4 linked regions of the Anolis sagrei genome follow. The protein of the gene in region 1 interacts with the protein of each later gene in a pairwise test. Links are inferred from orthologs where the notes say so. Each region holds a gene or a part of one and is shown on either strand. Other genes may lie near its edges.

Evidence for each region.
Region 2: the proteins of CCNDBP1 (region 1) and ILF2 interact in a two-hybrid assay, tested with the Homo sapiens proteins (2 studies listed by BioGRID and IntAct). The two-hybrid records come from large-scale screens. The link is inferred for Anolis sagrei from reciprocal best matches to the Homo sapiens genes CCNDBP1 and ILF2.
Region 3: the proteins of CCNDBP1 (region 1) and CCDC146 interact in binary tests that used the Homo sapiens proteins (3 or more experiments, as listed by UniProt). The two-hybrid records come from large-scale screens. The link is inferred for Anolis sagrei from reciprocal best matches to the Homo sapiens genes CCNDBP1 and CCDC146.
Region 4: the proteins of CCNDBP1 (region 1) and AMPD2 interact in binary tests that used the Homo sapiens proteins (3 or more experiments, as listed by UniProt). The two-hybrid records come from large-scale screens. The link is inferred for Anolis sagrei from reciprocal best matches to the Homo sapiens genes CCNDBP1 and AMPD2.

The regions. Positions count from the first base shown.
Region 1 is NC_090024.1:247,310,711-247,318,547, reverse strand, and holds the start of CCNDBP1 (cyclin-D1-binding protein 1), read left to right. Parts: upstream 1-4,830; 5' UTR 4,831-5,029; coding exon 5,030-5,093; intron 5,094-5,175; coding exon 5,176-5,289; intron 5,290-5,398; coding exon 5,399-5,478; intron 5,479-7,837. UniProt on the Homo sapiens protein: May negatively regulate cell cycle progression. May act at least in part via inhibition of the cyclin-D1/CDK4 complex, thereby preventing phosphorylation of RB1 and blocking E2F-dependent transcription.
Region 2 is NC_090032.1:1,536,518-1,544,122, forward strand, and holds the start of ILF2 (interleukin enhancer-binding factor 2), read right to left. Parts: upstream 3,018-7,605; 5' UTR 2,891-3,017; coding exon 2,886-2,890; intron 1-2,885. UniProt on the Homo sapiens protein: Chromatin-interacting protein that forms a stable heterodimer with interleukin enhancer-binding factor 3/ILF3 and plays a role in several biological processes including transcription, innate immunity or cell growth.
Region 3 is NC_090025.1:85,572,815-85,580,668, reverse strand, and holds the start of CCDC146 (coiled-coil domain-containing protein 146), read right to left. Parts: upstream 3,005-7,854; 5' UTR 2,849-3,004; intron 1-2,848. Other genes in the region: protein FAM185A, read left to right, coding at 3,284-3,770, 6,618-6,727. UniProt on the Homo sapiens protein: Essential for sperm flagellum biogenesis and male fertility.
Region 4 is NC_090024.1:184,411,421-184,419,061, reverse strand, and holds the start of AMPD2 (AMP deaminase 2), read left to right. Parts: upstream 1-4,639; 5' UTR 4,640-4,799; coding exon 4,800-4,893; intron 4,894-7,641. UniProt on the Homo sapiens protein: AMP deaminase plays a critical role in energy metabolism. Catalyzes the deamination of AMP to IMP and plays an important role in the purine nucleotide cycle.

The sequences.
Region 1 (7,837 bases):
TTGTTTAAAAGCTTCAAAGGAAAGAGCTTCACTGGAGTCTGAGGCAGAGAGTTCCAGTGCTGAACAGCTCTTCTTACAGTCAGGAAGTTCTTCCTAATGCTCAGGTGCGATCTCCTCTAATTGGAACCCGTGACTCCATTGTGTCCTACTTTGCATGGCAGCAGAAAACAAGCTTGCTCCCTCTTCCTTAGGACATCCTTTCACGTATTGATACTCCTCATGTCTCCACTCAACCTTTTACTCTACAGCTAAACAGACTCAGCTCTTAAGGCTCCTCAGAGGGATTAATGTCTCCAGACCTTTGATCATTTTAGTCGCCCTCTTCCTCTGGACTCCTAGCTTCAGAGTCAACATCCTTCTGAAATTGCTTTGCCTGGAACTGGACACAGTGATATCCCAGGTAAAGAAGTCTGACCAAAGCCAAATAGAGAGCTACCATGACTTCTCTTGATCGCAGCACTGGACTCATAGAATCATAGAATCATAGAATCAAAGAGTTGGAAGAGACCTCATGGGCCATCCAGTCCAACCCCATTCTGCCAAGAAGCAGGAATATTGCATTCAAATCACCCCTGACAGATGGCCATCCAGCCTCTGTTTCAAAGCTTCCAAAGAAGGAGCCTCCACCACACTCCAGGGCAGGGAGTTCCACTGCTGAACAGCTCTCACAGTCAGGAAGTTCTTCCTAATGTTCAGATGGAATCTCCTCTCTTGTAGTTTGAAGCCATTTGTTTTGTGTCCTAGTCTCCAGGGAAGCAGAAAACAAGCTTGCTCCCTCCTCCTCCCTGTGGCTTCCTCTCACATATTTATACATGGCTATCATATCTCCTCTCAGCCTTCTCTTCTTCAGGCTAAACATGCCCAGTTCCCTAAGCCGCTCCTCATAGGGCTTGTTCTCCAGACCCTTGATCATTTTAGTCGCCCTCCTCTGGACACATTCCAGCTTGTCAATATCTCTCTTGAATTGTGGTGCCCAGAAGTGGACACAATATTCCAGGTAAAGTGGTCTAACCAAAGCGGAATAGAGCATGGTGAGCATGACTTCCCTGGAGCTAGACACTAGGCTCCTCTTGATGCAGGCCAAAATCCCATTGGCTTTTTTTGCCGCCACATCACATTCCTGGCTCATGTTTACCTTCCTCCCCACGAGGACTCCAAGATCTTTTTCACACGTACTGCTCTCGAGCCAGGCATTGTCCCCCATTCTGTCTCTTTGCATTTCATTTTTTCTGCCAAAGTGGAGTATCTTGCATTTGTCCCTGTTGAACTTCATTTTGTTAGTTTTGGCCCATCTCTCTAATCAAGATCGTTTTGAATCCTGCTCCTGTCCTCTGGACTATTGGCTATCCCTCCCAATTTGGTGTCGTCTGCAAACTTGATGATCATGCCTTCTAACCCTTCATCTAAGTCATTAATAAAGATGTTGAACAGGACCGGGCCCAGGACGGAACCCTGCGGCACTCCGCTCGTCACTTCTTTCTAAGATGAAGAGGAAGCATTAGTGAGCACTCTCTGTGTTCGTCCACTTAACCAACTCCTTTGGATGCAGCCCATAATCCCATTGGCTTTTTTAGCTGCTGCACCACACTCTTGGCTCATGTTCGGTTTGCCCTCCATGAAGACTCCAACCAAGGTCTTTTCCCCATGTAACTCTTGTCAAGCCAGCCGTCACCCATCTTTGCATTTCTGCCAAAGTGTCGTATCTTACATTTGTCCTAGTTGAGATTCATTTTGTTGATTTTGGCCAATTGGCTCTCTGATTTGTTGAGGTCATTTTGAATCCTGATCCTGTCCTCTGGAATATTAGGTCTCCCTCCTAATTGGGTGTCATCTGAAAACTTGATAAACATAGGTAAAGGTAAAGGTAGTCCCCTGACATTAAGTCCAGTCATGTCTGACTCTAAGCTGAAGAGCCAGCGTTGTCCGTAGACACCTCCAAGGTCATGTGGCCGGCATGACTGCATGGAGCACCGTTACCTTCCCGCTGGAGCGGTACCTATTGATCTACTCGTTGATAAACTACTATTGATAAACATACCTAGAGGTAAACCAAGAATGGGCAACTTGGAAGTCCCTGAACAGACTCAGAAGTGGAGTTAGCAGATCAAAAGACAACCACTGCCTAGAAGAATCCTCCACCTTGTGCGAGTGTGGAGCAGAACAAACAACTCAGCATCCGCATGCTTGTCCAGAATGCCCTGCCTCATGCACAGAGGGAAAATTCTTTAAAGCTGCCGACATTGCGGTTGCTGTTGCCCAGTTTTGGTCAAAAATTCTTTAACCGCTTTGTTGTGGTTTATCAGTCTATGTGGAAGCTACTCAGCAGTCTTCCCAGCCCCAGCCCTCTGTTGATTCACACAGTCAGAGTAAAAGGGAAAACAAAATTTACCCTTGAGTAGTACGCAGAGGCGGCCCTAGGTAATTTTCAATGGTAAGCAAACAGTATTTTGGTGCCTCCTCCCCCCCCCCCACCCAATCATTGATATATATTTTCTGTTCGTCGTGGGAGTTCTGTGTGCCCTATTTGGTTCAGTTCCATCATTGGTGGAGTTCAGAATGCTCTTTGATTGTAGGCGAACTATACATCCCAGTAACTACACTTGCCGCACTTGCTCCCTTGCCTGGCCCGCTTTGGGTCTGGAGGCGTGCCTGAAGACCCCAGTGTGTGCACCAAAAGTCACCTCTTCTCCTGACTTTCTCCTCAGCCATTGGGACCGAGAGAGAGAAAGAGAGAGAGAGAGAGGTGGAGATGCCCACCTTTCCTGAAGGTAGGTGCAAAAACAAAGGAGGGAGCGGAGGTGGGAGATACTTCCAGCCGGAGGGGCTCTCTCTCTCTCTCTCTCTCTTGGTCCCAATGGCTGAAGAGAAAGTCAGGAGAAGAGGTGACTTTTGGTGCGCACGCTGGGGTCTTCAGACACGCCTCTGGACCCGAAACGAGAGAGGAGAGGAGGCGGGTGGAGTGCCGGGGGATCAGGAAAGGGAGCCAGTCATGGGGAAGGGATCGAACACGGAGAACGATTGAGCGCCGGCTCTGCTCGCGCACCCGCTGGCCAGGTGGAGCAGGAACGAGAGGGGCTAGGCGAGGCTCAAGGGCCCGGCCCCTTTGGGAAGAGGATCGCCCGGCAGCGAGGCAAGGAAGCTGAGGCTCCCCCCGGACTGCTAGGGCTGTTGTGAGCTGAGGGGGTGCTCCTCAAGTGGCGGTCGAGGGGCATTTACAGAGGCGCCTCTGCGCCCCTGGCAAAAAAAAAGTGTTCTGCGACCGCTTACTTCACGTAATGGACGAGCCGCCCCTGGTAGTCAGAGATCAATATGCAGCTTTACAAAATAACCAGCCTTGAAAATAAACTCAGTCCATTGCAGAAAATAACTCGCACAAAGTCCAATGCATTAAAACCGTGCATTCTCTGTTTCTTCAATGCTGCAAGGAGTCTTGTAGCAAATGGTCCAGACCTTCAGCAAGTCCTGTAGTAAGTCCATGGTAGAATGACCATCAGCATGGAAGTCCCATCATTTCTCTCCATGAACGACTGTCTTCATGATCTGAATGCTCCTCATGATATACTCCTTGCAGGGAGTGGCTCAAGCTTGATTGCTTAATTGTCCAGGTGTTCTTCCTCAACACGCACCCATACAGGAGATGATCCTTGTGAAGACTTAGCATACATATGCACACCCTGTAATACGCTTGCATTAACTCTATTTTTAATCAGTTTTATACTTATTCATGCAATGCTTTGGAAATGAAATAAATAAACTTTCATCCAAGTCATGAATTGTTGCAGCCTGGTCAGGGTCTGAGTACTCGGAGGATGAGGAAGGGGAGGCTGGGATGCACCCTCAGGGGGCATGAACATCACTCAAGGGGTGGAGTTTCCTGTCAAAGGCGGGGCTTGTAGCCCGATGGGCGGGGCTTCCTCTCAAAATGCGGGGCCTTCAGCTGTAGGGCGGGGCTTCCCCTCAGAGGAATTCCACTCAAGGGGAGGGGCTTCCTCTCAATCAGCGGGGCTTACTTTGTGGTGGGCGGGGCTTCCTCTCAATGGGCGGGGCCTTCAGCTGAAGGGCGGGGCTTCCCCTCAAGGGCATGAATTCCACTCAAAGGGGAGGAGCTTAAAGCCTGGGGGCGGGGCTTCCCCTCAAAGGGAGGGGCCTTCAGCTGAAGGGCGGGGCTTCCCCTCAAGGGCATGAATTCCACTCAAAGGGGAGGAGCTTAAAGCCTGGGGGCGGGGCTTCCCCTCAAAGGGAGGGGCCTTCAGCTGAAGGGCGGGGCTTCCCCTCAGGGGGCATGAATAATACCCAAGGGGGCGGGGCTTCCTCTCAAAGGCGGGGCTTGCAGCCAGATGGGCGGGGCTTGCGGCTGAAGGGCGGGGCTTCCCCTCAGGGGTCATGAATAATACCCCCAAGGGGCGGGGCTTCCTCTCAAGGGCGGGGCTTGTAACCAAATGGGCGGGACCTGCGGCTGAAGGGCGGAGCTTCCCCTCAGGGGTATGAATACTATTCCAGGGGGCGGGGCTTCCTCTCAAGGGCGGGGCTTGTAGCCGGAGAGGCGGGGCTTCCCCTCAGGGGGCATGAATAATACCCAAGGGGGCGGGGCTTCCTCTCAAAGGCGGGGCTTGTAGCCAGATGGGCGGGGCCTGCGGCTGAAGGGCGGGGCTTCCCCTCAGGGGGCATGAATATTCAAGAGGGCGGGGCCTATAGCCTGGGGGCGGGGCTTCCTCTCAGGGGGCACGAATACTATTCAAGGGGGCGGGGCTTCCTCTCAAAGGTGGGGCTTGTAGCCAGATGGGCGGGGCCTGCGGCTGAAGGGCGGGGCTTCCCCTCAGGGGGCGGGGCTACCTCTTGGGCGTTTCCAGGGCAACCGTCGCCCTCCTCCCGGAGGACCATAAAATCCCAGCCTCGGCCTGGACTCGAGGCCCAGGGACAGTGAAAACACGGGACAGGAAGTGCGTCACCTGCCTTACCCCAGGACTTCCGGCTCCCCTACGGAAGCCGGAGTGCGGGGGCCTGGAGCTGTTTCGCTTGGGAGTCCGCGATGTCGTGCCCGCCGCTGGAGGCGCTGCGCGGGGGCCTGGAGGCGGCGCTGTCGGGGCTGAGAGGTGAGGGCCCTTCCTTCCTTTCGGGAGGGATGGAGAGAGAGGGGGCGCTCTGCACGCGCTCAGGGGCACGCTTGTCTCGCAGGCGGAGAGGCCGGGCGGAGCGGCGACGGAAGCCGAGAGGAGCCAGAAGAGCAGCAGCAGCAGCACGAAGAAAAAGAGGCCGCCTTCGACCCCGGAGGCTTCTGGGATGCCCTGGGTAGGTAGCCAGGGGGGAGGTCTCTCTCTGGGGCGCCTCTCTATGGCCTTGGAGGACTTCTTTCTCTCACTCTCACTCTCTGTCTCCCTCCTTCCTCCTCCTCCTGCAGGGGGCGCCTTCGAGGCAGCCAGCCGAGAAGCTTCCGCCCTGAGCCTCGCCTTGGCCCGCCCACCGCCGCCGCCCCGCCAGGTGGGTCCTTCCGGGAGAGGGAAGGGGGTCCCCCAAAGGCCATCTAGTCCAGCCCCCTTTATTTATTCCGCCATTCTGCAGGAAGAGCACCATCAGAGCCCTCCCCACAGATGGACACCCAACCTCTGCTTAAGAATAATTATTATTATTATTATTATTATAGACTGCTTCACCATCATAGCAATAATAGAATCCTAGAATTGGGAGCCCCAAGGGTCATCCAGTCCAGCCCCTTATCTTCTTCCAGGCAGGAAAAGCACAGTCAAAGCCCTCCCAACAGATACTCATCATGCCTCTGAATAATAATAATAATAATAATAATAATAATAATAGTAGAATCCTAGTGTGGGAAAGGAACCCCAAAGGTCATCCAGTCCAGCCCTCTTTATTCTTTCAGGGAGGAAAAGCACAATCAAAGCTACCCTGATAGATGGCCATCCAGCTCCTGTTTACTACTACTACTACTACTAATAATAATAGAATCTTAGAATTGGAAGGGAACCCCAAAGGTCATCCAGTCCAGCCCCCTTAATCCCGCCATTCTGCAGGAAGAGCACCATCAGAGCCCTCCCCACAGATGGCCACCCAACTTCTGCTTAATAATAATAATAATAATAATAATAAGACTCTGCTTCACCATCATAACAATAATAGAATCCTAGAATTGGAAGGGAGCCCCAAAGGTCATCCAGCCCAGCCCTCTTTATTCTTTCAGGGAGGAAAAGCACAGTCAAAGCCCTCCCAACAGATACTCATTATGCCTCTGAATAATAATAATAATAATAATAGGGGAAGAATAATAATATCACCATCATAGCAATAATAGAATCCTAGAGTGGGAAAGGAACCCCAAGGGTCATCCAGTCCAGCCCTCTTTATTCTTTCAGGGAGGAAAAGCACAATCAAAGCTACCCTGATAGATGGCCATCCAGCCCCTGTTTAATAATAATAATAGAATCTTAGAATTTGAAGGGAACCCCAAAGGTCATCTAGTCCAGCCCCCTTTACTCTGCCATTTTGCAGGAAAAGCACCATCAGAGCCCTCCCGGTAGATGGCCACCCAACCTCTGCTTCATAATAATAATAATAGTAATAATAATAATAATAATAATAGAATCCTAAAATGGGAAAGGAACTCCAAAGGTCATCCAGTCCAGCCCTCTTTATTCTTTCAGGGAGGAAAAGCACAATCAAAGCTACCCTGATAGATGGCCATCCAGCTCCTGTTTAATAATAATAATAACAATAATAATAACAATAGAATCTTAGAATTGGAAGGGAACCCCAAAGGTCATCTAGTCCAGCCCCCCTTTATTCCGCCATTCTGCAGGAAGAGCACCATCAGAGTCCTCTGGACAGATGGCCACTCAACCTCTGCTTCATCATCATAACAATGGAATTCTAGTGTTGGAAGGGACCCCCAAAGGTCATCCAGCCCAGCCCCTTATCTTCTGCCAGGCAGGAAAAGTACAATCAAAGCCCTCCTGACAGATAGTCATCATGCCTTTGAATAATAATAATAATAATAATAATAATAATAATAGTTGTTTGATACTCATGTTAGGTGCCTTTTTGATTCATGATTCAAGTTTTGGAATTTTACTTTGGACGTTTCTATATTTGTTTTTCATGAACTCTGATGGATTCATTTCCTAGACTATTTGATCCTGCTTATCTTTCTGCTTATCTTAGATTTACCTATTTTGTTCATTCGTTTCGTCGCTTCCAACTCTTTGTGACTTCCTGGATCATCCCAAGCCAGAGCTCCTTGTCAGCCGTCCCCACCCCTCTCTTATTATTGCAAAGGCTGGATGGCCATCTGTTGGGGGTGCTTTTCCTGTATGGCAGAATAGAGGGGGTTGGACTGGATGTCCCCTGGAGTTTTCCATTGAAATACTGTTAAGTTTATGTTGGTCAAAAAGTTTGCCCATGCCACACACATTATATATACTGTATATATATATATAATATATAATGGGCCTTAAGAAGCATTGCTAACAACAAGGCAACAGGAGACGACGGGATCCCAGCTGAACTGTTTAAAATCTTAAAAGATGATGCTGTCAAGGTGATGCATGCCATTTGCCAGACAGAGGTCCTCCTGGTCAGTCGCAAGGCCGAACAGGGCATAGGGTTACAGCCTGTGTTGGATGGGGCCGCACTCCCCCTGAAGACTCAGGTTCGCAGCTTGGGTGTGACCCTGGACTCATCCCTGAGCCTGGAACCCCAGGTTTCGGCGGTGACCAGGGGAGCATTTGCACAGCTAAAGCTTGTGCGCCAGCTGCGCCCGTACCTTGGGAAGTCTGACTAGGCCACGGTAGTCCACGCTCTGGTTACATCCCGTTTAGACTACTGCAAC
Region 2 (7,605 bases), on another chromosome or scaffold:
AGGTATATTACACCCACACAAATATATACAGTACTAGCTGTGCCCTGCCATGCGTTGCTGTGGCCTATAGTAAAACTTATCAAAGTTGAGGTAGATATCTGGACTATTATGAAAGAGAGGTACCTACCTCTTCCTTCCCCCTTTTCCTCCCCCTTTCTCTCCTTTCTTCCTTCTCTACCTCTTTCTTTCTTTCCTTCTTTCACTACTTGGTTTCATCCTTCTCTCTTTCCTTCATTCCCTCCCCCTTTCTTCCTTTGCCTTTCTTCCCTCCCTGTTTGCTTCCTTCTTTCGCTTTTTATTTCCTTTTATTTCACCACCATCATAACAATAGCAATAATGCAATGCATTGCCTCCGGGACCTGACACCTCTCCCATTCCCCCTAAAAGGGTCTCAGAGGAATAATAGCATCATAATAATCATAGAAATAACAACCTTTACCCGCCACGCATTGCTGTGACCAACCTTCCCTCTTTCTCTCCTTCTTTCCCTCCTTCCTTCCTTCCCTCCCATCTTTCCTTCTCCTCTTCCTTCTCTATCTCCTTCCTTCCCCCTTTTTCTTTCTCTTCTGGCCTCTTTCCTTCCTTCTCTCTTTCCTTCTTTCCTTCCCTCCCTCTTTCTCTACATCTTCCCCCTTTCTTCACTCCCTCTTTCCTTCCTTCATTCCCTTTTTTCTTTCCTTCTCTCCTTCCTTCCTTCCCCCTTTTTCTTTCTCTTCTGGCCTCTTTCCTTCCTTCTCTCTTTCCTTCTTTCCTTCCCTCCCTCTTTCTCTACATCTTCCCCCTTCCTTCACTCCCTCTTTCCTTCCTTCATTCCCTTTTTTCTTTCCTTCTCTCTTTCCTTCCTTCCCCCTTTTTCTTTCTCTTCTGGTCTCTTTTCTTCCTTCTCTCTTTCCTTCTTTCCTTCCCTCCCTCTTTCTCTACATCTTCCCCCTTCCTTCACTCCCTCTTTCCTTCTTTCATTCCCTTTTTTCTTTCCTTCTCTCCTTCCTTCCTTCCCCCTTTTTCTTTCCCTCCCTCTGTCTCTCATTTCTTCCTTCTCTACCTCTTTCCTTCCTTCCCCCTTTTTCTTTCTCTTCTGCTGTCTCTCTTTTCTTTCCTTCCATCTTTCCTTTTCTTTCCTTTTCTTCTTCCTTCTTTCTCTAACTTTCCTTCCTTCCCCCTTTTCTTTATCTCCCTTTCTCTTTCTTCCTTCTTTCCTTCCTTCCTGTCTTTCCTGGATTTTGACAGGGCGGGAAGGGGTGCGGTGGGGTTTGGAGGTGGCGTGAAGTAAAAGGAGGTAAGATTGGGGCAGGCAAGTGATGGAGCGTGAGGTTGTGTGTGTGTGTGCGGCAGCGGGGGGAGTGATGGAGCGTGGGGTTGCGTGTGTGTGTGCGGCAGCGGGGGGGAGTGGGGTTGCGCGTGTGTATGTGGCGGTGGGGGAGTGATGGAGCGTGGGGTTGCGTGTGTGTGTGCGGCGGGGGGAGTGATGGAGCGTGGGGTTGTGTGTGTGCTTGCGGCGGGGTGTGTGTGTACGGGAAGGAGCGTAGCGGGGCTTGGAGTGGGCATGGCTTCCGCAGAGGGAACTGTGTGCGCGCGCCAGGGAACTTGCGGCTGGGCACCAATGCGCATGCTCAATTGTTTTGCCGTTTTGTGAGTGTGTTGTTGTGTTGTTTTTCATTTTGAGTAGATATGTTTGTACCTTGTGGGTTGTCTTATGGGCATGGCAATTTTGGTACAGTTTCGTTGGGGGGTTTTTGAGTTTTGTTTCCTCGTTGGATGCCCCTAACAAATTTATATATATAGATTAAATCTTATACAATATTTAAAATTATATAAGTATAACATAATATATATATATATGGTGATTTAAGGCCTTTATATAGTCTGTGCATATTATATATATATATATATATATATATATATATATAGCATTAAATATATTGAGTATCTATAATATATTAAATAAACTATTTAATATTTAATATCGTATAATATTTAATATGCGTGTGATATATTATATTATATATAGTTATAATATATTATCTATATATTAAATTATATCTATATTATCTATAATATAGATAATATAGATGATTATATATTATATTGTAGATATATTATCTATAATATAACATATATTATATGAAAATTATATATTAATTTAATATATATGAGATAAATGAAATACTATATATATTATTTAATACTGTATAATGTTTAATATATAGATCATATAGATATTATAGAGAATGTATCTATATTATCTATTATCTATATTATAGATAATATATCTACAATTTAATATATAGATAATATAGATACATTCTCTATAATATGTATATGATATTATATCTAATATATAGATCATATAGATATAATATCAGATAGATATTATATATATTATAGAGAATGTATCTATATTATCTATATATTATTTATATATTAAATTTAATATATATGAGATAAATAAAATACTACATATATTATTTAATGTGTAATGTTTAATATATAGAACATTATACAATATTAAATAATATACATAGTATTTTATTTATCTCATATATATTAAATAAATATATAATTTTCATATAATATATATTTTATATTTAGTATTATATATTATATTTAATAATATAATATATATATTATATATTAAATTAAATATTATTATATTATAATAACATTATATATATACATATATATATATTATATTAAATATTATAATATTATAATAATATTAAATATTAAATATTAAATATACATATAATAATATAATATATTTATTAAATTAAATACTATAATATTATAATAATATTATATATATATATATATATATATAATATACATAATATAATATGTATATTTCCATATTTCCATCTCTCTCTCTGACTTCTCCCTCTTTTTACCTCATGCTTCCTTCCAGTGAGAACCGTTCCGAGTCCGCAAAGCGCCTCTTCCTCCCTGAAGACCCTCCGCGAAGAATAACCACCCGGCCCGCTCTTTCGCCGCCGCCTTTGTCCACCTCGCAAGAAGCGTCGACGCGATTGGCCTTCCCAAGTGAGTAAAACCCGCCGTGGTAGGTTCCTAACCTTGCAGCCAATTCCTGTCTCGCGTTCCTCTTTTTTCCCCGCCCTTTCTTTCAGGTTCTGTGATTTTATTGGCTTCTGGGCCTATCAATCAGGCCGCGCGCGCACACCCTTTTCTCTTTTTTCTCCTCGTTCGCCAATAGGAGAAAGGAGAGAGGAGGAGAAAGGAGCGCATGCGCAGTGCCTCATTGGAGGCGATTGAGAGGAGAAAGGGACGCATGCGCAGTGCCTCACTAGGAGGAGAGGGAGAGAAAGGGACGCATGCGCAGTGCCTCACTAGGAGGAGATTGAGAGAAAGGGGCGCATGCGCAGTGCCTCACTAGGAGGAGATTGAGAGGAGAAAGGGACGCATGCGCAGTGGCTGACTAGGAGGAGATTGAGAGGAGAAAGGAACGCATGCGCACTAGGAGGAGAGAAGAGGCGAAAGGGGCGCATGCGCAGTGCCTCACTAGGAGGAGAGAGAAGAGGAAAAAGGGACGCATGCGCAGTGCCTCACTAGGCAGAGATGAGAGAAGAGAAAGGGACGCATGCGCAGTGCCTCACTAGGAGGAGATGAGAGAAGAGGCGAAAGCGGTGCATGCGCAGTGCCTCACTAGGAGGAGATGGAGAGAAGAGAAAGGGACGCATGCGCAGTGCCTCCCTAGGAGGAGATGGAGAGAAGAGGCGAAAGGGGCGCATGCGCGGTGCTTCCCTAGGAGGAGAGACTCCAAAGGAAATGACTCCAAGAAACGTGCGCATGCGCAGAACGTGACATGCTCTTATGTACTCCCTAAGCCGCCTGGAGTTCCAATGGAGCAGAGTGGCGCAGCGGAAGCGTGCTGGGCCCATAACCCAGAGGTCGATGGATCGAAACCATCCTCTGCTAATTTTTTCCCCTCTCTTCAAATTATTCAAATTAATATTCAAATGAATATTAATTACAGTAATTCATTTCTAAGTAGGTACGTGCTTCTCCTAAATTAACAAAGTGTGCTTAATGTTGTGTTTAAGGGAGAATTAAATTATCATTGCTATTTGCTAATTATTATTAATTATTATTATTAATTATAATAATTAATAATTAGTATTAATAGGATACCTAATAATTATTAATATTAATTATTAATATTAATTAATATTATTTATTATTTAATAAATAATAATAATAATAATTAATAATAATTAGCAATGATAATTTAATTCTCCCTTAAACACAACATTAAGCACGCTTTGTTAATTTAGGAAAAGCCCGTACCTACTTGGAAATTACTGTAATTAATATTCATTTGAATTTTGTTTTGGTTTTTTAATATAAATCAATATAAATAATTATTAATAGTTAATGATTAATAGGTATCCTAACTATTAATAATTATTAATATTATATAAATAATAATTAATAGTTAAGATACCTATTAATCATTAACTATTAATAATTATTTATATTAATTATTAATATTACTTAATATTAAAATTTAATTAATTTTAATTAATAGAATGCTTATTAATCATTAACTATTAATAATTAATTATATTAATTATTAACATTAATTAATATTAATATTTAATTAATATTAATTAATAGGATGGCTATTAATTGTTAACTATTAATAATTAATTATATTGATTATTAATATTAATTAATGTTAATATTTAATTAATATTAATTAATAAGATGTCTATTAATTGATATTAATTAAATATTAACATTAATTAATATTAATCATCAATCAAAATCAAAATATTAATTATATTAATATTAATTATAATTTCGTTATATTATATTAGCTATATTCGTTATATCAATAATATTAATTATTAATATTCATTATTAACTATTAATAATTGATTACTTGAATTATTAATATTAATTAATATTAATATTTAATTAATATTAATTAATAGGATGCCTACTAAGTATTAACTATTAATACTTATTTATATTAATCACTAATATTAATTAATATTAATATTTAATTAATATCAATTAATAGGAAACTATTAACTATTAATATTAATTATAATTTAGTTATATTAAATTAGCCATATTCGTTATATTAATAATAATATTAATTATTAATATTAATTATTAACTATTAATATAATATAATTAATTATTCACAAGTAATAACAATTAAGAATATTAATAATTAATTGATTATTTATATGGTGTCCTGGGGAGGCCATAGATGTTTATAGCACTGATGACAGTGATGATGATGAGAATCATAATAATTAGTACTAATGAGAGACCTTGTGGAGCAGAAGAGGGCATTCCTAGCACTGACCACCAGGTGGCGATATTGCCCGCCTCACTTTAGGGCTCCAGTGAGTCTGTAATTATTATTCTTCTAATTGTAGTGTTGTTGTTGTTGTTTGCAAGAGCAAATTCCCTGAGATAATAAGAATACTAATGCTAATGTTATTGGTGCAGCCAGTGCCATCTTGAGCAGGCAAGGACAAGTATGCAATATTAGTCATCGTAATAGGAATAATAATATTAATTGGTGCAGCAGGTTGAGCAGGTAAGGGCAAATATAGTGCAATAATAACAACAGCAATAATAATAATAATAATAATAATAATAATAATAATAATAATAATAATAATAATAATAATAATAGATATTTATATGTGCAACAGGTTCCCTCCTGAGCAGGTAAGGGCAAGTATAGTGCAATAACAACAACAACAACAACAGCAATAATAATAATAATAATAATAATAATAATAATAATAACGAGAAGGAGAAGGAGAAGGAGAGTAGATATTTATAGGTGCAACAGGTTCCCTCCTGAGCAGGTAAGGGAAAGTATAGTGCAATAACAACAACAGCAATAATAATAATAATAATAATAATAATAATAGATATTTATATGTGCAACAGGTTCCCTCCTGAGCAGGTAAGGGCAAGTATAGTGCAATAACAACAACAACAACAACAACAGCAATAATAATAATAATAATAATAATAACGAGAAGGAGAAGGAGAAGGAGAGTAGATATTTATAGGTGCAACAGGTTCCCTCCTGAGCAGGTAAGGGAAAGTATAGTACAATAACAACAACAGCAATAATAATAATAATAATAATAATAATAATAATAATAATAGATATTAATAGGTGCAGCAGGTTCCCTCCTGAGCAGGTAAGGGCAAGTATAGTGCAATAACAACAACAACAGCAATAATAATAATAATAATAATAATAATAATAATAATAATAATAGGTGCAACAGGTTCCCTCCTGAGCAGGTAAGGGCAAGTATAGTGCAATAACAACAACAACAGCAATAATAATAATAATAATAATAATAATAGATATTTATAGGTGCACTAGGTTCCCTCCTGAGATGGTAAGGGCAAATATAGTGCAACAACAACAACAATAGCAGATATTTATAAGTGCAACAGGTTCTCTCTTGAGCAGGTAAGGGCAAGTATAGTGAAATAACAACAACAACAACAACAACAACAATAGATATTCATAGGTGCAACAGGTTCCCTCCTGAGCAGGTAAGGGCAAAAATAGTGTGTTGTTGTTGTTGTTTATGGGTGAAATAGGTTCCTCCCTAAATAGGTAAGGTCAAATACTGTGAATAATAATGATAATAATAATAATAATAGTAATAGATACTAATGAGTGCAACAGGTTCTCCATGAGAAGGCAAGGAAAAATATAGTGTAATAATAATAATAATAATAGACATTAATGGGTGCAACAGGTTCTCTATGGGCAGGTAAAGGCAAGTATAGTGTAAATAATAATAATAACAACAACAATAATAATAGGTATGTATGGGTGCAATAGTCTATATTGGCAAGGTGTGTTTTGGGGAGGGGTCCTTTGCCGTCCTCCGGGCAGGACGGGGTTAACCCTCCTCCTCCTCCTCTTCTTCCTCCTCCTCCTCCTCTACTTGGGCGAATAAATCCTCCTCCTTCTCTTCTCTTCTCTCAGTCACTCCTCCGGTTCCTCCTGATAGGAAGGAAGGCAGAGAGGCAGAGGCAAGTGGGAGCTACCTGGGGGTCTTGGGGGGCAGATTTGGGGGGCAGAGCAGGGACAGATTTGGGGGTACAGTGGGGTCAGTTTGGGGGAGAGATAATAGACAACTTGTGGTCAGCAGGAGAAACTTTTGGGGTTCCCTTGGGTGGGGTACCCTTGGGGGGCCAAGTCACTGGGGGTGGGTTACAACTGGGGGTTCGGACTAGATAATTTTGGGGGACAGTGGGACAAAGTATAGGGCTCTGCGGTGAGTTGACTTTTGGATCTAGTTGGGGGGGATTCGACCCCCCAAGTCCATTGGGGTTAATTCTGGGAAGGTAGTTAATCCTTTGATTAGGGGTATTGATCCAGCAAGGAGCAAACCGGCTGGATCAATACCAGCAATGTTGGATTGATTGGGGCAACTGAGGAACGGTCCGTCGGGGAGACTTAGTTTTGGGGTAACTGTTAGCCAACCTTTGGTCACAGTCAAGTAGGATCTCAACTGGGGTTCAGTGGGGTAGTTAGGCAAGGTCAGAGTAGGGTAGGGGCAACTCAAGAACGGTCGGTCGGGCAGACTT
Region 3 (7,854 bases), on another chromosome or scaffold:
GAAAGAGTAGAGACATCACACCAGCAACAAAGATCCGCATAGTCAAAGCAATGGTATTCCCACCTTTTTTCATCTGCAGCAGGTTAGACGGCTGGCCCCCTACCTGTCCAGGGACGACCTAGCTATGGTGATCCAGGCCACGGTCATCTCAAGACTGGACTACTGTAACGCCCTCTACATTGGCCTTCCTCTGTCGGTGATCTGGAAGCTCAAGTTGGTACAAAATGCAGCTGCTCGGCTTCTTGCGGGAATTCTGATGAGATGCCACATAACACCAATCTTACTACAGCTGCATTGGTTACCAATTGAGCACCGGATTACTTTCAAAGTGATGGTACTCACCTTTAAGGCCTTGCATGGTCTGGGGCCGATGTACCTGAGGGACCGCCTCACCCCCTACCAACCCCAGAGATCCCTCCGTTCTGAGGACCAAGATCTATTGGAAATTCCCAGCGTCAAGACCTTGCGTCTAACAGCAACCAGGCGCAGAGCCTTCACAGCAGTGGCACCATCGCTCTGGAATACTCTGCCACCTTGCGGGACCTATCAGCTTTCCGCAGGGCATGTAAGACATATCTGTGTCAACAGACCTTTGATGTCTGATATTGTTGTTTTTAGAATCATAGAATCATGGAATCAAAGAGTTGGAAGAGACCTTATGGGCCATCCAGTCCAACCCCTTGCCAAGAAGCAGGAATATTGCATTCAAATCACCCCTGACAGATGGCCATCCAGCTTCTGTTTGAAAGCTTCCAAAGAAAGAGCCTCCACCACACTCCGAGGCAGAGAGTTCCACTGCTGAATGGCTCTCACAGTCAGGAAGTTCTTCCTCATGTTCAGATGGAATCTCCTCTCTTGCAGTTTGAAGCCATTGTTCCGTGTCCTAGTCCTCAGGGAAGCAGAAAACAAGCTTGCTCCCTCCTCCCTGTGGCTTCCTCTCACATATTTATACATGGCTATCATATCTCCTCTCAGCCTTCTCTTCTTCAGGCTAAACATGCCCAGCTCCTTAAGCCGCTCCTCATAGGGCTTGTTCTCCAGACAATTTAAATTGTTTTTAAATTGTTTTGTTGTTGTTCATTCATTCAGTCGTCTCCGACTCTTCGTGACCTCATGGACCAGCCCACGCCAGAGCTCCCTGTCGGCCGTCACCACCCCCAGCTCCTTCAAGGTCAGTCCAGTCACTTCAAGGATGCCATCCATCCATCTTGCCCTTGGTTGGCCCCCTCTTCCTTTTGCCTTCCGTCACTTTCCCCAGCATAATTGTCTTCTCTAGGCTTTCCTGTCTCCTCATGATGTGGCCAAAGTACTTCAACTTTGTCTCTAGTATCCTTCCCTCCAATGAGCAGTCGGGCTTTATTTCCTGGAGGATGGACTGGTTGGATCTTCTCGCAGTCCAAGGCACTCTCAGAACTTTCCTCCAACACCACAGCTCAAAAGCATCTATCTTCCTTCGCTCAGCCTTCCCTAAGGTCCAGCTCTCACATCCGTAGGTTACTACAGGGAATACCATGGCTTTGACTAGGCGGATCTTTGTTGCCAGTCTGATGTCTCTACTCTTTACTATTTTATCGAGACTGGACATTGCTCTCCTCCCAAGAAGTAAGCGTCTTCTGATTTCCTGGCCACAGTCTGCATCTGCAGTAATCTTTGCGCCTAGAAATACAAAGTTTGTCACGGCCTCCACATTTTCTCCCTCTATTTCCCAGTTGTCAATCATTCTTGTTGCCATAATCTTGGTTTTTTTTATGTTTAGCTGCAACCCAGCTTTTGCGCTTTCTTCTTTCACCTTGATTAGAAGGCTCCTCAGCTCCTCCTCGCTTTCGGCCATCAGAGTGGTGTCATCTGCATCTCTGAGGTTGTTAATGTTTCTTCCAGCAATTTTCACCCCAGCCTTGCATTCATCAAGCCCCGCATATCGCATGATGTGTTCTGCATACAAGTTAAAAAGGTTGGGTGAGAGGATGCAGCCTTGCCGTACGCCTTTCCCAATCTTGAACCAGTCTGTTGTTCCGTGGTCAGTTCTGACTGTTGCTACTTGGTCCTTGTACAGATTCCTCAGGAGAGAGACACGGTGGCTTGGTATGCCCATCCCACCAAGAACTTGCCACAATGTATTATGATCCACACAGTCAAAGGCTTTAGAATAGTCAATGAAGCAGAAATAGATGTTTTTCTGAAACTCCCTGCCTTTCTCCATTATCCAGCGAATTTTGGCAATCTGGTCTCTTGTTCCTCTGCCTTTTCTAAACCCAGCTTGCACATCTGGTAACTCTCGTTCCATGTATTGCTGGAGTCTTCCTTGCAGGATCTGGAATATTGTGTCCAATTCTGGGCACCACAATTCAAGAAAGATATTGACAAGCTGGAATGTGTCCAGAGGAGGGTGACTAAAATGATCAAGGTTCTGGAGAACAAGCCCTATGAGGAGCGGCTTAAAGAGCTGGGCATGTTTAGCCTGAAGAAGAGAAGGCTGAGAGGAGATATGATAGCCATGTATAAATATGTGAGAGGAAGCCACGGGGAGGAGGGAGCAAGCTTGTTTTGTGCTTCCCTGGAGACTAGGACGCGGAACAATGGCGTCAAACTACAAGAAAGGAGATTCTATATGCCTTTATATTCTGGGTGATATGGCTGTGAAGAAAGGCCTTCCCTCTCTTCCCTTCGACCTTTCCCTTTTCCCCTACTGAGAGAATGGAGCATGAGGACCCTTTTGCTCCGTGAAGCCACTTAAAACAATTGAAGTAAACCGAGGGGAAAGTGGGGGCATCTACACTGCAGAATGAACGCAGTTTGACATAACTGTATCTACTCATTCGACCTCCTTCCCAGCCTTGGCCCGCTTTACCCTTTCAGCTCCCACGACGCTCCTGCCGCCTTTCCCTCAGCGTCGTGCGTTCCCATGGAAACCGACGCTCTGCTTCCGCCTCTTCCCGCCTCTTCCGCCTCCTTTCTTCTTATTGGCTGTTCCTTCCGCACCGCACGAAAACATCCTCTCTTCCCAGTCGCTGTTGACGCTCTGCATTCTGGGAGTTGTCGTTCAAGACTCTCAGAAAAATTGAGTGGAAACCACATTTCCCAGCAGCCACTTGGGCATGGCTAGGCTAGTGTAGTGCCTGAAGGACAGTTCACAGGCCCTAGTTTTAGACATTTTTTGAAACCAGAGGGTGGGCTTGTCTCTCATGCAAGGAGCCAAAGAGTCTACAAAGTCTTGGGCTGTGGAACCATCTATTTTTGTGGAAGGAGAAGCTGCCTTGGTCGACTAAGCCCAGACAGGTAGGGCATGATGATGCTGCCTCTCTTGCCCAGATGTTGGCACTTGGCAGCTGGGATCCCAGCAAGGAACTGGTTCCTGTCTGGTGGAGGAGGCCTTGCTGGGCAGGAAACATGGAGTGGCACCTGCCAACTACTGCCTCGCTTGCTTTCAACCAGCCCTGGCAGCAGAAGTCAAGATCCCTCTCAACCCAAAGAGCCCAGGCCAGAGAACAGGGAAGCCCTCAAGGAGTGGGCCCTGGCTGTGTGCCCCTTTGGCTCACTGAAGGCCCGCCTCCCTTGCCACATCACTCTGTGCCCCCTGGACCCCCACAAGCACCCTGATGGAGACAGGGTTTTCGTGACCGTGAAAGGGGCCAACGCCGAGATGCACCACCCAAGATCAAGCCTGGATTCTTTGCAGGTGAAATACGACGAGGGGCTTAAGCAAGTGAGCATCATCTCAGGTGGCGTGGACAGTGCTGCCTCGGTGGATGTGAGAATGCCCATGAAATTTGGTACGTGTGTCGTGAATGACTTTTACAGTATATATATATATATATATATATTCACCCTTCTCACCCCGCAGGGGACTCAGGGCAGATTACAATGTACATATACATGGCAAATATTCAATGCCATAGACACACAACATATATAGACAGACACACAGAGGCTATTTAACATTATTTATTTATTTATTTACCTTACTTATATACCGCTGTTCTCAGCCCGAAGGCGACTCACAGCGGTTCACAACAAATATGAACAGCAAAAATTCAGTGCTACAGTATAAAAACAGTTAACAACCTAACACATTACACAATTAATAAACAGTTACTACAATACCCATTCACAATACCCATTCCAGCTTTCATGAGGGTATTCTGGCCACCAGGGGAACTGTTGCTTCACTGTCCATTTGTGACACTGATGAAGTACTTCCTCATTCTTTGCACGCTTGCTGGAAATTGTTATGACATCGTAAATTAGTTAAATTAGCCTCCCCACATAAGCGGTACCTAAATTTCCTACTTGACGGATGCAACTGTCTTTCGGGCTGCAAAGGTCGACAGCAAACTACAAAAATTGGTTGGAAGCTCACTCTGACCCGGGCTGGCTTCGAACTCATGAACTTTCGTTCAGTAGTGATCTTAATGCAGCTGACTCCCAGCCAGCTGCGCCACAGTCTCAGTGATTCCATAGCAGTTTTCACAAATAAGATATCAAAACAATGATAAAAACTAATATGCAGAAGAAAAACAATATACTTAGCAAGATTTTTGAAAACCAGGTTTTGGGAGATGAAGAATGACTTTGCTTGTTACATAAAAAGAGCACCATTTGGCCATGAGAAGATCAGAAGACTTTTCAATGACTTTGAAGCATAGGTTCTTTTTATTGCAATTTCCAGTCTGAGAAGGTATATCAGTTTACAGAAAACATTTAGGCAAAGAATGACATTGGACACACAGACATACAGATTCTATGCAACTACATTGGATTTACAATTATTATTATTATTATTATTATTATTATTATTAACTTTATTTGTACCCCGCTAACATCTCCCAAAGGACTCGGTGCGGCTTACAAAGGCCAAGGCCCTCAATAAACAACAGCATAACAAAAACAACAATAAAATTCAAAAAGCAAACCAATAAACATTAAAGCAATAACAGTAAACATTAAACAATAACACCATGACACATTTAAAAATTAAGGGTCGGGCCAAATGCAATGAATAAGATTAAAAGTGCTGGACATGACAGGTGAAATGTAAGGATTTTAGAGTAGGTGCGATGTGCAGACAATCTTAAATCTCTAATAAAGTGCTTTTGGGACATGATGCTGGGAGTTTCCTATTCTGGAAAGGCACACTGGAACAGCCAGGTCTTCAAGCTCCTCCTAAAGACTGCCAACGTTGGGGCTTGTCTGATGTCCTTGGGGAGAGAGTTCCAGAGCCGGGGGGCTACCACAGAGAAGGCCCTGTCCCTCGTCCCCACCAAACGCGCTTGCGACGCAGGTGGAATCGTGAGCAGGGCCTCTCCAGATGAACGGAGGGATCATGTGGGTTCATATACGGAGATGCGGTCACAAACAAAGTGGAATTATAATTTCACTCAACATTCACACACATGTACATGCATTCATCCACATGCATCCAAAATATTACCATATCATTTTCTCCCTCCTTGGAGAAGCACCTCTTAGGCCAGACCCTGCTTTCCTGCAGCCTGCCAATGTATAGTTCCATAACTTCCATAATGCCAAAACTTCAAAACGCCGAAATGTTGAAACTTCTTTCCCTAAACACAATGCCAAGGACCAGATCTCTGTTTTTCATATGGCAGAACCTGACTCCCTGCACAAATCTAAGACTCCAAAAGCACACTTCTTCCTCTTCCCTTGAGAAAGAAGCCCCAAAGTGACCAGACTACTCCCGTGCAGATCTGCCACTGTCTGAATACACCATCTCTCTCCTTCCCATGGAGTAGAGCATGGCAGGTGAACAGCATCTCTTTCTGTCATTTGAGCATTATTAGACTGAGTCTTTTATAGGAATATTCTGTTGATGTAGTCCCAAAGTTGTAAATTAATGATAGACGTCTTCCATCCTGGATCCATCTCAGTGTTGATTTTTCTTGATTGGTGTTAACAAACACAAGGCTTGTGTTGACTTTCTTCTTAACATAAGGAAGGTTACAAACATTTCCTTTATCACTGTCCCGTTCTTATCAGGGTTTCTCATTAGCAAGTCCAGCAAGCAGATATTAGTCATTGCAGGCCTTAATATCATACTGGTGTTTCCAAAATACATCCATCCATCCCTCCATTCTTCCATTCATTCCCAGACATCCTTATATCAAATCTGCACATTGAATTTTTATTACATGTGCTGGAAGAGAGTGTCCAAAGACCCAGAAGCAGAGCTTTCCTACCATTTGGGGGAATACATCCTTTCACGACACAGTAATTAAGTTTTAATAATAATAGTAATAATAATAATAATAATAATAATAATAAACTTGGCAGGGGGTTGGACTGGATGGCCCATGAGGTCTCTTCCAACTCTTTGATTCTATGATTTGTTATGTTTTGTGTTATATTGTGTGTACTGTACTGATGGGTGTGGCCTCATGTAAGCCGCACCGAGTCCCCCTGGGGGAGATGGAGTGGGGTATAAATAAAGTTTATTATTATTATTATTATTATTATTATTATTAAGACCATAGACTTCCTGTTGCTCATTAATGTTGTGAATGTGGTATGGTACTTCCTTTATTATTTGTAGCTTTGCTAACTGAAATAACACATTTATTGTGCTGAATTCCATTTATCTTGCAATTTGATATTTATTTTAGACTTGGATATCAAGACATCAGGAAATGGCTGTGTAAAAGTTGAGAAAATTGAATGTGATAACTGCAGAATAGAAACAGAGAGCGGAACGAGCGTTCTTCAATCAGTAAAGGTACTGAAGAAACAGATTTCCAATTGCTTCCTAACTTTCCTTTTTAATAAGTCCTATGTTATAATGATGATGATGATTATTATTATTATTATTATGTTTATTATGTTTATTTCTACCCCTTTTTATCTCCCCAAAGGGGACTCATTATGATTGTGAATTATGCTTATTCACTTGCATATGCAGTGAATAATGACTTAAAATCCTTTAGAATATTTGCATTTTTCTGGATACTGTTACATTCTATTTCAGCCCTGCAATTACAGAAAAGGCTTTAGAATCAGAGACTTTAATATTATTCTGTATTGGTTCGGACAACGTCAACTGATACCCACGGAAAGATAATCCTAATATATAAATTAGTTAGTTTATTCAGTTCAGCCTTTTCTGTGGCAAAACCTCTTTCCAAAAAGGTTCATATTAGTGCATATAGTTTACTATCATTTCCGTTTATTGGCAGTGACTCTCCAAAGACTTGGAGATATCAAATTTTCAGGAAGTCCTCCTGTGGTAGTACCTTCATTGTCTACACCAGTGGTTTCCAACCTGTGGTCAGTGGACCACCAGTGGTCTGCAAGAACTAAAATATGGTCCGTGGCCTCACTGCTACTACACCATTGCAACGAGAGCAACTGGTCTCGCAAAACGCTGTGCCGTAGCTTATTAAATATGGTTTTCTGTGGGCGAGCAGATGATGACTACTGGATGGCATCTGTTCTTTATCAGAAACTAGAGCTAATGTGGTCTATCCAATGCAGTTTTCTGAATCAGCACCCGAAATACCCAAATCGAATCTAAAGTTGTCCAAAAATTGATTTGTAATCCTTTTGGTACTAATGTTGGATAGTGATCCCTGGTCAAGTGGTTTCTGGTCAAAAAAAGGTTGGAAACTACTGCTCTATACTCTGATGTGTCTGGTTCGCCATTTTTTGTCTAGGAAGGATTGTGTTACTTGAAGTACCTTATTAGGGGAACACTTTTGAGCATGGAAATGCAATGGGGGGATCATTTTCTGTTGGGTTTAGCTTGCCATGCAGGCAGCATCACATTCTAGAGGGGTGATTGAGAGATTCAAATGAGTCTGAATAGAAATAGAAAAGGGGGAGAGAGAATAAGAAGGTTAACTCTCT
Region 4 (7,641 bases), about 63 Mb from region 1:
GGGGGGCTCAATCGCAGACTCTGCCTCTCCCTTGCCGAGCTCAGCATCTTTTGCAGAAACTGCCCTGAAGGGGAGGAGCCACAAAGTCCAAAGTCTTGTCCATTGTGTCAATTTGGTTCCTTTTTTGGCAACAGAATGACCCGGCTGATGGAGAAAGACAGCTAGATATATTCCCCGCCTCTTCCTAAGTCTGGGTTTGTGTCTTAACTTCCCCGCCAATGGCGAAATGGAGGCTTGCCTTGAGGTCTCCAGCTTCTGAAAGCGAAACGAATGCTTGAGGAAGAGGTGCTGGGCCAGAGAAAGAGGCCTCAAAAAAGGTCCATCCTCTGTTTGCATTTTAATCCATGTATTTTTAAAGGCCAATCCTTTACTCGGCATTAGCCAGACTGTGGACCCAGCTCCAAAGCAATGCAGGTCCTTCCAATTTTCTTTAATATTCAAACAGGGGAGGGGGTACTCCATGTGCATGTACACCAGGCAACCTCAAACTGTGGCCCTCCAGCTGTTCGGCCCTCCAACTCCCAGAAGCCCCAGTGAGCCTATTCAGTAGTCAGGAATTTTGGGAGTTGGAAGCCCAAACAGCTGGAGGGTCACAATTTGAAGATGCCTGATCTACACTGTAGAATGAATGCAGTTTGACACCACTTTAACTTCCATGGCTCAGTGCTGTGAAATCGTGGTTGTTGTACTTTTACAAGGCCTTTAGCCTTCTTTGCCAAAGAATGCTGGAGCCTTACCAAGATACAAATCCCCTTGATTCCATATCACAAAACCATGACAATTAAAATGGTGTCAGACTGAATTCATTCTACTGCTTAGATGCAGGTGGATTGAAGGTGGTTCATAAGTGCGGTGTCCAAATTACACTTGTCCTGGTTAGAGGCAGGAGTAAGCAGTTCTGACCCCATTATTTAGGAGGTGTATCTGACTATACAATTATAGCCACCAATAGCTCTATTTTAAGGTCTCGTGGGATGTACAGTTCAATGAAGTACTTCAGATTCTCCCTTGGAGATAATTCATTCTCTCTATCATCTTTCAGGTATTTTGGACTTCAGCTCCCAGAATCCTTGAACATTTCCCAGGTGTCCTGGGCTGAAATTTTAAAGATCTGGAGGAACCACTGTCTGGTTCACTCCTTTGAACTCCACGGCCTCTTCCACACAGCTGAATAACATGATCTTCCCACATTATCTGCTTTGAACTGGAATATATAGTAATGTGGACTCCGATAACTCAGTTCAAAGCATATATTGTGGGGTTTTCTACCTTGATTTATTTATTGATATTGACAAGCTGGAATGTGTCCAGAGGAGGGCGACTAAAATGATCAAGGGTCTGGAGAACAAGCCCTATGAGGAGCGGCTTGGGGAACTGGGCATGTTTAGCCTGAAGAAGAGAAGGCTGAGAGGAGATATGATAGCCATGTATAAATATGTGAGAGGAAGCCACAGGGAGGAGGGAGCAAGCTTGTTTTCTGCTTCCTTGGAGACTAGGACGCGGAACAATGGCTTCAAACTACAAGAGAGGAGATTCCATCTGAACATTAGGAAGAACTTCCTGACTGTGAGAGCCGTTCAGCAGTGGAACTCTCTGCCCCGGAGTGTGGTGGAGGCTCCCTCTTTGGAAGCTTTTAAGCAGAGGCTGGATGGCCATCTGTCAGGGGTGATTTGAATGCAATATTCCTGCTTCTTGGCAGGGGGTTGGACTGGATGGCCCATGAGGTCTCTTCCAACTCTTTGATTCTATGATTCTATGATTTATTTATTTATTTATTTGCTTTACTTCTATACTGCCTTTCTCCGCCGAAATGGCGACTCAAGGTGGTTTACACAGTAAAGATCATCACAACAATATCAAAAAGACAATTAAAAGCAAATTATACAAATTACACCAAAACAAACAATCATTATCATAGGCCTCAGCAAACAAATCAGAATCAGAATCCGTAATCATAATCCTTTACCAAATCCTATGTTCAGTTGTACCATCTTCGTGTATTCATTGCAGTATTTAGCCAAATGCTTGTTCGTAAAGCCAAGTCTTGACCTTCCTCCGGAATGCCAGCAATGAAGGGGCCTGTCTGATGTCCACAGGTAGGGCGTTCCACAGCCGAGGGGCCACCACCGAGAAGGCCCTGTCCCTCGTCCCCGCCAACCGCGCCTGCGATGTAGGCGGGACCGAGAGCAGGGCCTCCCCAGACGATCTTAATGTCCTAGTCGGTTCATAGGAGGAGATGCGTTCGGAGAGGTAAGTATTGATATTCTGGGTTATATGGCTGTGTGGAAGGGCCCCACACCCCAGATTCCTTAACATGGTTTCAGATCACATGGTTATACAAAGTAGTGAGAAACTGATGTAACAATGTAATGCGGATACTTCTCCAGTGATGTGTGTATGTGTCATTAAGATACTGTCAACTTATAACAATCCCATTAATTTCATAAGGTTTTCCAAAAGGGACTACTCAGAAATGGTTTGCCAGTTCCTTCCTTTGAAATAGAGCCTACTGAACTTGGCATTCATTGTTGGGTTTCCATCCAAGTACTAACCAGAGCTGTTCCTGCTTAGCATCCAAGATCAGATGGGATCTGGTACCTTTAGGGCAGTGGTTCTCAACCTTTTTTCACCAGGGACAACTTGACCACTCTCCAACATTAGTACCAAAAGGGCTACAAATCAGTTTTTGGTAAACTTTAGATTTGGCTTGGTTATTTGGGATGCTGATTCAGAAAATTGCATTGGATAGACCACATCAGCTCTAGTTTCTGACACAAAACATAGGCCATCCAGTAGTTGCCATCTGCTCTCCCACAGAAAGCCATATTTAATAAGCTTCAGCACTATAAGAAGTTTCGCAAGACCAGTCACTCTCTTTGCAATGGTAGTAACAGTGAAGCTGTGGACCATATTTTAGTTCTTGCAGACCACTTGTGGTCCACGGATCACAAGTTGGGACCCACTGCTTTAGGGCATTAGGCTCTTCCTCAAGTGGGCTGCCCTCCAAAGCCAAAGGAAGTGCCACAATATGTTTTTGAGGCACCTCACCACTGGAGAAGCAATGCAGTCTGCCACCATCTTTACTGCTACGGTTCAGTGCTGTAGAATCCTGGGAGGTGTAGTTTGGCGGGACACCAGCACTCTTTAGCAAAGAGGGCTGAAGACCTTGTAAAACTGTAAGTCCCATAATTATATAGCATTGAGTCTTGATAGTTAGAGTGGTGTCAAACTGCATTTCTTCTGCAGGGTAAATGTATCCTATGCAGACACCATAGCACTGGCTTTTGTGGCCTTTCAAATATTTTGGGGTGGCAGCTCCCATCACTCCTGGCCACTAGGTAGGCAGGGTAGAGTAATGCTTTTCAAAATAGTCACCAGGGAGTCATGATCTGCCAACACATTGCATGGGTGGATGATGATGATGAGGTGCCCTACAATACTTGGAGAGACTCTGTTGCTGGCCCAGCTTTGAGGTTGCAGCTTGGCCTTCTCCTGAAAATGCCAGCCCGGGCTTCAGAAGCCTGGAGTCCCTTTGGCAAAGAGGACTCAAGCTTGCTTTCAGGATGGCTTGAACCTGGGATATTCAACAGGTGTACTTGCTTTTTAAGGCAGAGAATACCAACTGGGAGTGAGAGCAGCCTCCCCATCATGTTGTTTTTTTTAGACTAATTATTTTATTCAGAACCAAAGAAAGCATTATAATCAAACTGTCCTTGCAATGCTTGCATAGAAGTGGGAGGGCATCAGCAATGAAGGCAGAAGTTTCCAAACTGTCGTGACACGCCAATGTGTCGGCTGCAGTGTGTTGGTGCGGCACACAACTGTAACGTGAAACCTGAGTCTATAGCAGGCCTGGCCAAACTTTGGCCCTCCCAATGTTTTGGACTTCAACTCCCACCATTCCTAACAGCCCCAGGCCCCTTCCCTTTCCCCCTCAGCCTCCATCTCCCTGAAGGGACTTAGGGCGGCTTATAAGGGATGTGCCCAGCAAATACAGATTAAAAACAAACACAGAAATGCAGTCAACATTTAAAAACAATATACCCTGGTTAAAGCCTTGTGTCGGCAGGACTGAAGACTGACAAGTCGGAGGTACAAATCTGGGGAGAACGTGGATGAGCTCCCTCTGTCAGCTCCAGCTCTCCATGCGGGAACATGGGAGAAGTCCCCCACAAGGATGATAAAACATCAAAACATCCTCTGGGCAATGTCCTCGCAGACAACCAATTCTCTCACACCAGAAGCAACTTGAAGTTTCTCAAAGTCGTTCTTGACACACACACACACAAAAGGTCTGGAGTTGCATCTACATTGCAGACTTAATACAGTTTGACACTACTTTAGCTGTCAGGGCTCAGTGCTAAAGAGTCGTGGGGGTTGTTGCTGTACAAAGCTTTCTCTACCCAGGAGTGCTGGTGCCTCACTCAATTAAAAACCCCAGGCATCAAGCCAGGGCATTTTAAAGCGGTGTCAGACCGCGCTCATTGTGCAGTGTAGATGCAGAGGGTTGCTAAAGGACCCACGCAGCTCGTGCCCGTGAGGAATGCAGCTGGAGGAGGAGGGGGCTGGGCTTCAGGCCTCCTCTTTGCTTCTCCCTCCCATCCGCTGCGTCTTGAGGCGGAGGAAGTCAAGAGAGATCCAACGCCGGAGCTCCTCCTGCGCCCATCGCCGGCTCGCTTCCTCCCCGCCTGTCCATCATCCCTAGAGGAGGCGGGGCTTAGCGGAGGCCCCGCCCCTTCGCCCAGTGTCCGGAGCCTGCCTTTGAGGGGCTTCTCTTGGAAGCATTGGGAGGGAGCAAGATGTCGTCTGGAGCGGCGCCCCCGAAGAGCGGCTCTCCTTTAAGAAAGCGGGCCAGCCTTCAAGCCGTCGTGGGAGGAGGAGGAGGCGGAGGAGGTGAGCGTGGGAAGATGGCATTTCCTCCCCCAGCCCTCTTTTCCCAAGCTAGGGGGGGGTTCTCTTCATGATAAAGCACCCCAATTCCTCCCCCCTCCCTTCTTCTGCATTTCCCTGCTGTGTTTCCTTCTTCCATAGGCTAATGGCTGCTCCTTGGGTTGGTTGGATGCTTGGCTGAGCAGACTTGGGTGCATCTGTACTGTAGAATTAATGCAGTTTGACACCGCTTTGCAGCCATGGCTCAAGGCAGTGCAATCAACTGTAGCTTGACAAGATCTGTAGCCTTCTCTACCAAAGAGGGCTGGTGCATCACCAAATTTCCAGAATCCAGTAGAATTGAGCCATGGCATTGAAGTGACCAACTTCACTGTTTCTGTAGAACAGACCTGGGTGCTTTGTACTTCAACTCCCACCATTCCTAGCAGCCTCAGGCCCTTTCCTTTTCCCTTGATGCACCTTCCTCTTGGCATGCTTCTCCCTTTCGCCCTCCATTTGTGCCGCTTCGAATTCTGCAGCACTGCTGGTCACAGCTGACCTCCAGTTAGAGTTCTCAAGAGCCAGGGCTTCCCCGTACTCAGTGTCTATATCACAGCTTTTAAGGTTGGCTTTCAGCCCATCTTTAATTTTTTTTCCCCCTGTCCACCAACATTCAAGAGAATGCAGCCACCTGTGGCACAGTGGGATGATAATAATAATAATTTTATTTTTATTCCTCACCTCCATCTCTCCAAAGGGACTTAGGGCGTTTACAAGGGACGTTCCCAGCAAATACAGATTAAAAACAAACACAGAAGTGCAATCAACATTTAAAAACAATAAACCCTTGTTAAAGCCTTGTGCTGGCAGGACTGAAGACTGACAAGTCCAGACATTTTGGACTTCCAACTCCCACCATTCCTAACAGCCTCAGGCCCTTTCCTTTTCCCCTTCAGCTGCTTAAGTGGCCTGAGGCTGTTGGGAATGGTGGGAGTTGAAGTCCAAACATCTGGAGGGCCCAAGTTTGCCCATCTTGATATAGAATGATATAAAACCCTTCAATTCTTAATCTTATCCATCTGTGACGTAGATTGCACAGCCCAAGCAGAAATCTTATTTCTTGGTGTCTTGGTTTTTAGGCACGTTCCTAGGGTTATTTGAACCACTGATTCGGAAAATAGCGTCAGATAAACCACATCGGCCATAGTTTCTTAGATAAGGTTGTTGTGATTTTCTATGGGTGATCAGATGGCAACTGGTATATGGCGTATGTTCTTCATCTCACAAACTCGAGCTGATAGGGGAAGACTGGTGCCGTTTTTGGAACCGTCAGATGAAACATACCCAGAAATGAGTTTTATTTGTGTGTCGGCCAGTGATGTAATTCAGAAAGATGCACATTGCGACCTTTGTCTTCAAGGTGTGATGGGATACAGGTCTTTCACATCTTTACAAGGGTCTTTTAGGATTCATGTATAAAAACAAAGCATGTTCAGAGGTGGGTCCCTCTGTGAATGTGCAGTAAAATCCCTAAAGGCACTTATAGAATCATAGAGTTGGAAGATACCTCATGGGCCATCCAGTCCAATTCCCTGATCATGTCTGGCTCCTGGTCCTGACCTTTAATGCTCTATATAGGAGCCCCCAGTGGTGCAGTGGGTTAAACCCCTGTGCCGGCAGGACTGAAGACTGACAGGTCACAGGTTCGAATCCAGGGAGGGTGCGGATGAGCTCCCTCTATCAGCTCCAGCTCCTCATGTGGGGACATGAGAGAAGCCTCCCACAAGGGTGATAAAACATCAAAACATCCAGGCATCCCCTGGGTGATGTCCTTGCAGATTGCCAATTCTCTCACACCAGAAGCGACTTGCAGTTTCTCAAGTTGCTCCTGACATGACAAAAAATATGTTCTATATGCCAGAGGCTTAAATCCCCTACAGCAGTGGTTCCCAACCAGTGGTCCACATGAACTAAAATATGGTCTGTGGCCTCACTATTACTACACTGTTGCAATAAGGGTGACTGGTCTCGCGAAACCCTCTTATAGTGCCAAGGCTAATTAAATATGGTTTTCTGTGGGCGAGCAGATGGCAACTACTGGGTGGCCTATGTTCTGTATCAGAAACTCGAGCTGATGTGGTCTATCCAATGTAATTTTCTGAATTAGCACCCCAAATAACCAAACCGAATCTAAAGTTGACCAAAAACAGATTCGTAATCCTTTTGGTACTAATGTTGGAGAGTGGTCAAAGTGGTCCCTGGTCATATGGCCCCCTTGGTCAAATGGTCTTTGGTCAAAAAAAGGTTGGGGATCTCTGCCCTAAAGCCACCGGCTCTTGTCTGATCTTGGAAGTTAAGCAGTGTCCGTTCTGCTTAGTACTTGGATGGAAGGCCATGTACAGGTCCTGCAAACTGTTTCAGAGGACTGAACTGGCGGAACCATCTCTGGTTATGTCTTGCCTAAGAATACTCTATGGATTTTATGGGGTCACCATAAGTTAATAATAAGAAGAAGAAAAAGAAGAAGAAGAATCTTTTCTTTATATCCCACCACCATTTCCCAGAGGAACTCGGGGCGGCTCACAAAACACTCAAGGTATGACATGCAAAATGCAACAAGTGCAAAACAAAACATATGACTAGACAATAAACAATCAACACAACATCATAAATTCACAGTACCCCCTTGTAAAAACAATGAAATATAGTCATTGCTGTGGATAAAACAGCAGTATTCGATTTCAGAAATATAACATGCTAATAAAGAATCTA